Sus scrofa: one gene and its partner. The protein of the gene in region 1 purifies or fractionates together with the protein of each later gene. This does not show direct contact. Links are inferred from orthologs where the notes say so. Each region holds a gene or a part of one and is shown in the gene's direction. Other genes may lie near its edges. The genes, in order: NCAPD3 and SMC4.

The links.
Region 2: the proteins of NCAPD3 (region 1) and SMC4 purify together in Homo sapiens (co-immunoprecipitation; 3 studies listed by BioGRID and IntAct, with this or other methods). This does not show direct contact. The link is inferred for Sus scrofa from reciprocal best matches to the Homo sapiens genes NCAPD3 and SMC4.

What each region holds. Positions count from the first base shown.
Region 1 is NC_010451.4:60,733,228-60,737,046, reverse strand, and holds part of NCAPD3 (condensin-2 complex subunit D3), read left to right. Parts: intron 1-568; coding exon 569-683; intron 684-771; coding exon 772-882; intron 883-2,090; coding exon 2,091-2,329; intron 2,330-2,960; coding exon 2,961-3,040; intron 3,041-3,819.
Region 2 is NC_010455.5:100,102,146-100,105,964, forward strand, and holds part of SMC4 (structural maintenance of chromosomes protein 4), read left to right. Parts: intron 1-36; coding exon 37-222; intron 223-3,014; coding exon 3,015-3,176; intron 3,177-3,819. UniProt on the Homo sapiens protein: Central component of the condensin complex, a complex required for conversion of interphase chromatin into mitotic-like condense chromosomes.

The sequences.
Region 1 (3,819 bases):
CCACAGATCATGTGCCCTCCCAGCCTGCTCAGCTCTCCAGGGGCAGTGGTGTTAGGTCAGGAGAGGGTTAGGTCAGTGTGAGGTTTAGCATGCTTATGTAGTCATTGAACCTATTTATCTTACATATCAACATGAAAGGATGCTGATACTAAAGAATCACAGACTTCACCCTCATGTGATTGGTGAGTATGTGAGAAGAGCAAAGTGAAGCCCTGGAACTATGACTGTGACTTAGAAAAGAAAGTCAAACAAAATCAAGGACGGTATCTGCAGTTAGTGGCTGTTCTGTGTCCCCACTTACCTGAAAACACTGTGATTCACTTTATTGCGGTGCAGTTGTGAGCAGCACCCCTTTGACTGGAAGGAGTATCTAGACATAGATGATAAAACTGTATATCACCCTGATTTTGGATGAATTTTTACAATGGCCTTGTATTTTTATGGGGGGAAACAGTCATTTAATATGGGACAAAAAAAGGTACAAGTACTTCACTGACATGGCCTTAATCTTGCTAGAGTTCATTTTTCTCTTGCCTTATTCTTACTGCAGAACCAATTCTCTCTGCAGGTGAAGTACATTTTCACCTTAGGAGACGTAGCCCAGCTCTGTCCAGCTAGAGTGGACAAGAGAGCCTTCCTGCTGATCCAGTCCATCCTGGCTGCTTCTCCCAGCACGGACCACTGTAAGGCACCTGCCTACCCTTTGCACCTGCTGCCTGCAGGCTGGGTTAGCCCCCGGAGTAGAGCAGTAAACCTCCTTCCCTCCTACAGTGCCAGCCTCAGATCCAGGCGGCAGTGAGGCCACAGCCTCCCAACCCCTCCCAGGGATCCACAGCTCCATCATGCCCTCCGTGATCAGAGCACATGCCGTCATTGCCTTGGGTGAGTAAGGAGACCTGGGGCAGCCACCTCCACATGTGGTTTTGTCTTAAATAAGCCAGTGATTTAAAAAGCCCCTGAGCTCAGGAGGCAACTATAGAAGCACCCAGATCTGCAGTACACTCTCTATTTATTACCTTTAAACCTGTTCCTGTGACTTTTTTTATACTTGCAATAACACCCTGAGGCCTATTCATGAAGATCTGTATGCCAGGTACTGCACTGAGTTCTAGGAATGAAGAAATAAATTTGCAGGTCACTTTATAAAGAGATAGTCTGATGCTTTCCATGAATTCATATGGTTGTTTATCTTGAGAAGACTGACATCTATGCAATAATTTGAATTTTGATTTTTTTGGGGGGGAGGCTGTGCCCACAACATGCAGAAATTCTAGGGTCAGGGATCAAACCCATACCACAGCTGCAACCTGATCCACAGCAGACAATGCCTGATCCTTAACTTGCTGAGCCACCAGGAAACTCCTTCAATTTCTTGTGACTATATTTTATTCTTGGTATGAGTTACAAATCTTTTTGTAGTAATTTTTTTTTTCAAAAATCTAAGAATTGTAAATAAGAGGAAAACATTCCCCAGGCAATAAAAGAAAAAAAGGTGTGATAAATGACATGATTGTGTATTTGACTCACTCACATTTCAAGTTCATTCTTCAATTTCTTAGCTTCTATCAACTATAAGTATAATCTAAAGTAAAATGTGGAGTTGCCCATTGTGGCTCAGCAGGTTAAGAACCCAACATAGTGTCCATGAGAATGCAGGTTTGATCTCTGGCCTCGCTCAGTGGGTTAAAGATCTGCCATTGCTGTGGCTGTGGAGTAGGCCCCAGCTATAGCTCCAATTTGACCCCTAGCTCGAAACTTCCATATGCTGCAGGTGCAACCGTTAAAAAAAAAAAGAGAGAGATGTAAAATGTATCATGGGTTTTATCGGTCATTTTCCAGGTAATTAGCTCCAAAACTCAAGCGCTGGTGACTTTACTGCAGTAAAGGAACATCTCAGAGTGTCCATCTCAGGACACCCTGGGTTGGGCAGGTGGTATTTTGAACTTCTTACTGTTTTGTTTGAGTTATGTCTGCCTTTGATTTTTTGTGATTGTCGATGTTTTGACTTTGATGAAATAATATCCAAAGCAGGTTACAGCTGGAGAGAAGGCATAGAATAAAGAATCAGGGTATCCCTCTCTTGGTGGCAGGAAAGCTGTGCTTACAGCATGAGGATCTCGCCAAGAGGAGCATCCCAGCCCTGGTGCGTGAGCTGGAGGTGTGCAGCGACATGGCCGTCCGCAACAACGTCGTCATCACCATGTGTGATCTCTGCAAGCGGTACACGGCCATGGTGGACAAGTACATCCCCAACATCTCTGCGTGTCTGAAGGACTCAGAGCCGTTCATCCGCAGGCAGACGCTGCTCTTGCTCACTGACCTGCTGCAGGTGCGCAGGTGGTCTTGCCCCCACCGGCCTGCTCCTGGCCCAGGGGTACCTGGGCAGCGCCGAAGGTGGCTGTGTAGTAGAGTCACAGGAGCCTCAACTGCACTTTCAGATACCACTCTTCCAGTGTTCTGAACAGACTTTTAAGTAGATTCTTACTTCCTAATATTCCTTTTGGGTGTTTGTTCAGAGACCCAGTCTTGCAGGGTGAAATGGTATTTTTACAAATACTCAGCACATAGAGAAAAGTTTACATAGACAAGTAGGTCTAGTTCCCATTCTTTGAAGGGTCCGTGTTCCCAGATGGAACATCATCATTTGTACAGTGAGGACCCTTACCCTTGCCCCGGCATCCCCAAAGACATGCTCTGAGAGCCTGGGAGATGTGTCCACATGAGGGGAAATACTATTTGATCAGAAGGTATTTAAGTGATTTGTGTCTGTTCTGGGCCCTCACTGTCTCCTATGGTGTGCACATCACAAGGGTGCCTCTGACCCTCTTCCTGCAGGGCAGGAGCTCTGAGTCCTTTTCTCCCACAGCCCTGTGCTCTTGGGGTGGGTGGGGTGAGTGCAGATGGCCCTGGAAACAGAGGGGCTGCATGTTGAAGCCCCCATGATGCCTTCTCTCATGCAGGAGGACTTCGTGAAGTGGAAGGGCCCCCTGTTCTTCCGGTTTGTCAGCACACTGGTAGACCCAGACTTGGCTATTGCCAGGTAAGCCTTTTCCCTTATGCCAGACAGCCCAGCAATTGGCCTAATTTCTGGCAAAGATCTCTTTTCTTTAAAAGCGAGTTGTTTATGTACGATTTAGTGATTTTTAAAATACTAAGCTATATAATAAAGCTTTAGTTTGCTTGTAAGTTTAAAAAGAAAAAAGCCTGGTAGTTCCTGTGATGGCTCAGCGGTTAATGAACCCAACTAGCATTGATGAGGACGTAGGTTCGATCCTTGGCCTTGCTCAGTGGGTTAAAGATCTGGCGTTACCATGAGCTGTGGTGTAGGTCGCAGACGTGGCTCAGATCCCATGTTGCTGTGGCTGTGGCATAGGCTGTCAGCTTCAGCTCCGATTAGACCCCTAGCCTGGGAACCTCCATATGCTGCAGGTGCAGCCCTAAAAAGACAAAGAAAAAGGAAAAAAAAGCCCTCGCCCAGGTCAACCATTGACTAACCTGCCACTGACCACATTTGTCGACACTTCTGCTCCTTCACACGGAGCAATGAAGAGCAGTGTTTGCCTTTGGTCACCTGTCAGAGCAGAAGCCAGCCAGTGTTAGCAGGAGTTCAGACTTCCCTCCAAGTGCAGAAACTGCAAGAAGAACTCGGAATTAAGACAGGATCGCTTTGTGTGAAATAAGAGTGTACGGTTTACAAAGTTCCTTGGAAATGGCTGTTTCCTGAGAATTGGAAGGCAAGGGGGTTGCTTTCCCCCTTGTTAATTCATCTCCTGTCATTTTCTTAAAATGTTTATTTTTAAGGAGTTGAGAAATAATCTC
Region 2 (3,819 bases), on another chromosome or scaffold:
CTTCTGGGATTCATTTTCTTTATTTTTCATGTTTAGAAAGAGAAAGAACTTCAGAAACTTACACAGGAAGAAATTAATTTCAAAAGTTTGGTTCGTGATCTTTTCCAAAAAGTTGAAGAAGCAAAGAGTTCCTTAGCAATGAATCGAAGTAGGGGGAAAGTCCTTGATGCAATAATTCAAGAAAAAAAAACTGGCAGGATTCCAGGAATATATGGAAGATTGGTAAAGTAAATTTATGTGTAAATAACTATACGTCTTTCTCAAAGACATTGTAAATAATTTTCTTACTTTACTTGAGCTGCACGTTGAGTCTCTTTATGCAAAATAATAACATTTACTTTCAGGAGTTCCCATCGTGACTCAGCAGTTAGCAAACCCGACTAGCATCCATGAGGTCGTGGGTTTGATCCCTGGCCTCACTCGGTGTGGGTTAAGAATCCGGCATTACCATGAGCGATGGTATAGGTATAGGCTGTAGACGTGGCTTAGATCCCACATTGCTGTGGCTCTGACACAGGCCCGTGGCTACAGTTCGATTGGACCCCTAGCCTGGGAACCTCCGTATGCCTTGGGTGCAGCCCTAAATGACAAAAAAAAAAAAAAAAAAGAATAAATAAAAGACATTCACTTTTAAGCATTTTGCTTTTCTACTCAATCATGAAAAAACCGTTGTGGAATGGATTCTTCATGTTAAAAATGGTTTTTTCGTCTTGTTCATGGTTATTAAATGTATAACAATATATATTGATTTTGTAGTAAGAGACACAATAGCATATCTTAAAATAAGTCATCAGTCTGAATATTATGCAAAATTATCTCTTCCATGGAGAAACTATTTCATGCAGGTGAGGATGGATAAAGGCTAAAATAAGGTGAAATGAGTTATAAATGTACCTAGGTTGGAAATACAGCTTTGAAGTAAAACTATTTTATGCTCATGGATGATTTCGCTTGTATTCAACTCTTACTTTTTTCTCTTTTCAATTTACTGTTGTTATTTGATAAAGGAAAGATGAAGAATATTAATAGTTAAATAAAAGAAAATTGAACTAGTTTTTTTGGTTTTGGATAATTATGGTCATTTTAAGAAAATGACCTGATTCTAGTGACAAACTTCACAAAACTACTTTTTTCCTTTTTTTTGAAAAAAAAATTTGATAAATTAAATTCTGGATTTTATATCATTTTACTGAAGGCTGTGGCTAGAGTTTAGGGAAATCAAGGGTGATAGGACCTAAAGCCTGAATTCATAATCCTGAAGTAGGAAGGGAGCTGTGGCCCTGGCTGGAGGGTTGCTGGGAGGAAACGGGGGAGATAAATATTTCAACACCATTCATCTACCCTGCCATTTCTAGCTGGTGCCTCACATTGTCTAAAGCTAGAGAGACAGAGGAGCCAATTAATGCAGTCTCTGAGTCAGCCTCCCAGAGAAGGAAGCAGAATAGAGAGATTCAAAAGGGCAAATGAAAATTACCCACCATAGTTGCTTTCAGATCTGCATGTCAGGTGACTTCCACTTTACTTTTTGAAGATAACACAATTTGATCATATTCATTTGCTCTCAAGGCAAAAATGAAGCTAATTGGTTAATGCTCCTTGATAGCTGATTTATTAATAGACATAATCTTAGATGACTTCCAATAATTTGTTCTTATTCTGAAGTTATTTTGCTTTATAGTATTTTTCCCCCCTCAGCTGCACCTGCAGCATATGGAAGTTCCCAGGCTAGGAATCAAATCCAAGCCAGAACTGGAGTTTCCCTCGTGGCTCAGTGATTAATGAATCCGACTAGGAACCATGAGGTTGCTGGTTCGATCCCTGGCCTTGCTCAGTGGGTTAAGAATCTGGTGTTGCCATGAGCTGTGGTGTAGGTGGCAGATTCAGCTCAGATCCCGCGTTGCTGTGGCTCTGGCGTAGGCCGGTGGCTACAGCTCCGATTGGACCCCTAGCCTGGGAACCTCCATATGCTGCAGGAGCGGCCCTAGAAAAGGCAAAAAGACAAAAAAAAAAAGAAAAAATCCAAGGCAGAACTGTGGCAACGCCAGATCCTTAACCCACTGCAGCACAGCAGAAACTCCTTGTTTATAGTTCTTTTTAGGTTTCAAGTCTTCACATGGTACATTTTCAGTTACATAAAACAAAAACAGTTCTCTCATTTTATGCTCATTAAATATTCAAACTCTATATCCATAAACTTTTTTTTTTTCTTTTTCTTTTTCTTTTTCCATTTTATACCCACACGTGGCATATGGAAATTCCTGGCCATGGGGTCAAATCAGAGCTGCAGCTGTAAGCCTACACCACGGCCCTGGCAACACCAGCTCCAAGTTACATCTGCAACCTATGCTGCAGCTTGCAAAACTGGATCCTTAACCCACTGATTGAGGCAGGGATCAAATCTACATCATCACAGACACTGTGTTGGGTTCTTAACCTGCTGAGCCACAAAGGGAACTCCCATAAACTTCTTTTTTTTTTTTTTTTTTTTTTTTTTTTTGGTCTTTTTGCTATTTCTTGGGCCGCTCCCACGGCATGTGGAGGTTCCCAGGCTAGGGGTCAAATCAGAGCTGTAGCTGCTAGCCTATGCCAGAGCCACAGCAACTCGGGATCCGAGCCGTGTCTGCAACCTACACCACAGCTCACGGCAATGCCGGATCGTTAACCCACTGAGCAAGGGCAGGGATCGAACCCACAACCTCCTGGTTCCTAGTCGGATTCGTTAACCACTGCGCCACGACGGGAACTCCCCATAAACTTCTTTAAAAGGTAAATTAAAAATTCTAGTAATGATTGCCTCTGCCGAAGGGGAAGGTTGAATGTGAGGAACACTTAAATTTGTTGTTATATACTCATTTTGTTCTTTGTAAAACCATATGTAGGTATAGTTCTTTAATTAAATGCAACCTGAAAACTATATGAATAGTAATAAAATGATCCTATGCCTAATACCTTGCTGATTGTGCTTTTTTTTTTTTGCTTTTTTTTTTTCCTTTTCCTTCCCTTTCTCTTATTAGGGGGACTTAGGAGCAATTGATGAAAAATATGATGTTGCCATTTCATCCTGTTGTCATGCATTAGACTACATTGTTGTTGATTCTATTGATACAGCCCAAGAATGTGTAAACTTCCTAAAAAGACAAAATATTGGAGTTGCAACCTTTATAGGTTTGGATAAGGTGGGTATTTATAATCTATCCAGAATTTAAAGTGCCAAGTGGGAAGCCCCATTGCGCCTTAGCAGTGACGAACCTGACTAGCAACAATGAGGATGTGGGTTAGATCCCTGGCCTCACTCAGTGGATTAAGGATCTAGCATTGCCATGAGCTGTGGTGAGATTAAAAGACGTGACTTGGATCCTGCATTGATGTGGCTGTGGCGTAGGCCAGTAGCTACAGCTCCCATTCGACCCCTAGCCAGGAGCTTTCATATGCTGCACATTCCGCCCTAAGAGAAGGCAAAAAAATGAATGAAAGTGCCAAATGTTTTGGTTATGGTTGGTGGAGGGGGGCGGTTTGTGTGCTTGTGAGGTTTTTTTTGTTGTGTTTTTTTTTTTGGTTTTTTTTGTTTTTTTTTAAAGGGCTGCATCTTTGGCATGTGGAAATTCCCAGGCTAGAGGTCGAATCGGAGCTGCTGCAACTGCTGGCCTACACCACAACAATGTGAGATCTGACCAGTGTCTATGACCTATATTGCAAATCGAGGCAATGCCATATCTTTAACCCACTGAGTGAGGCCAGGGATCAGAACTGCATCTTCATGGATAATAGTCAGGTTCTTAACCTTCTGAGCCACAATGGGAACTCCTTGGGTTGGGTTGG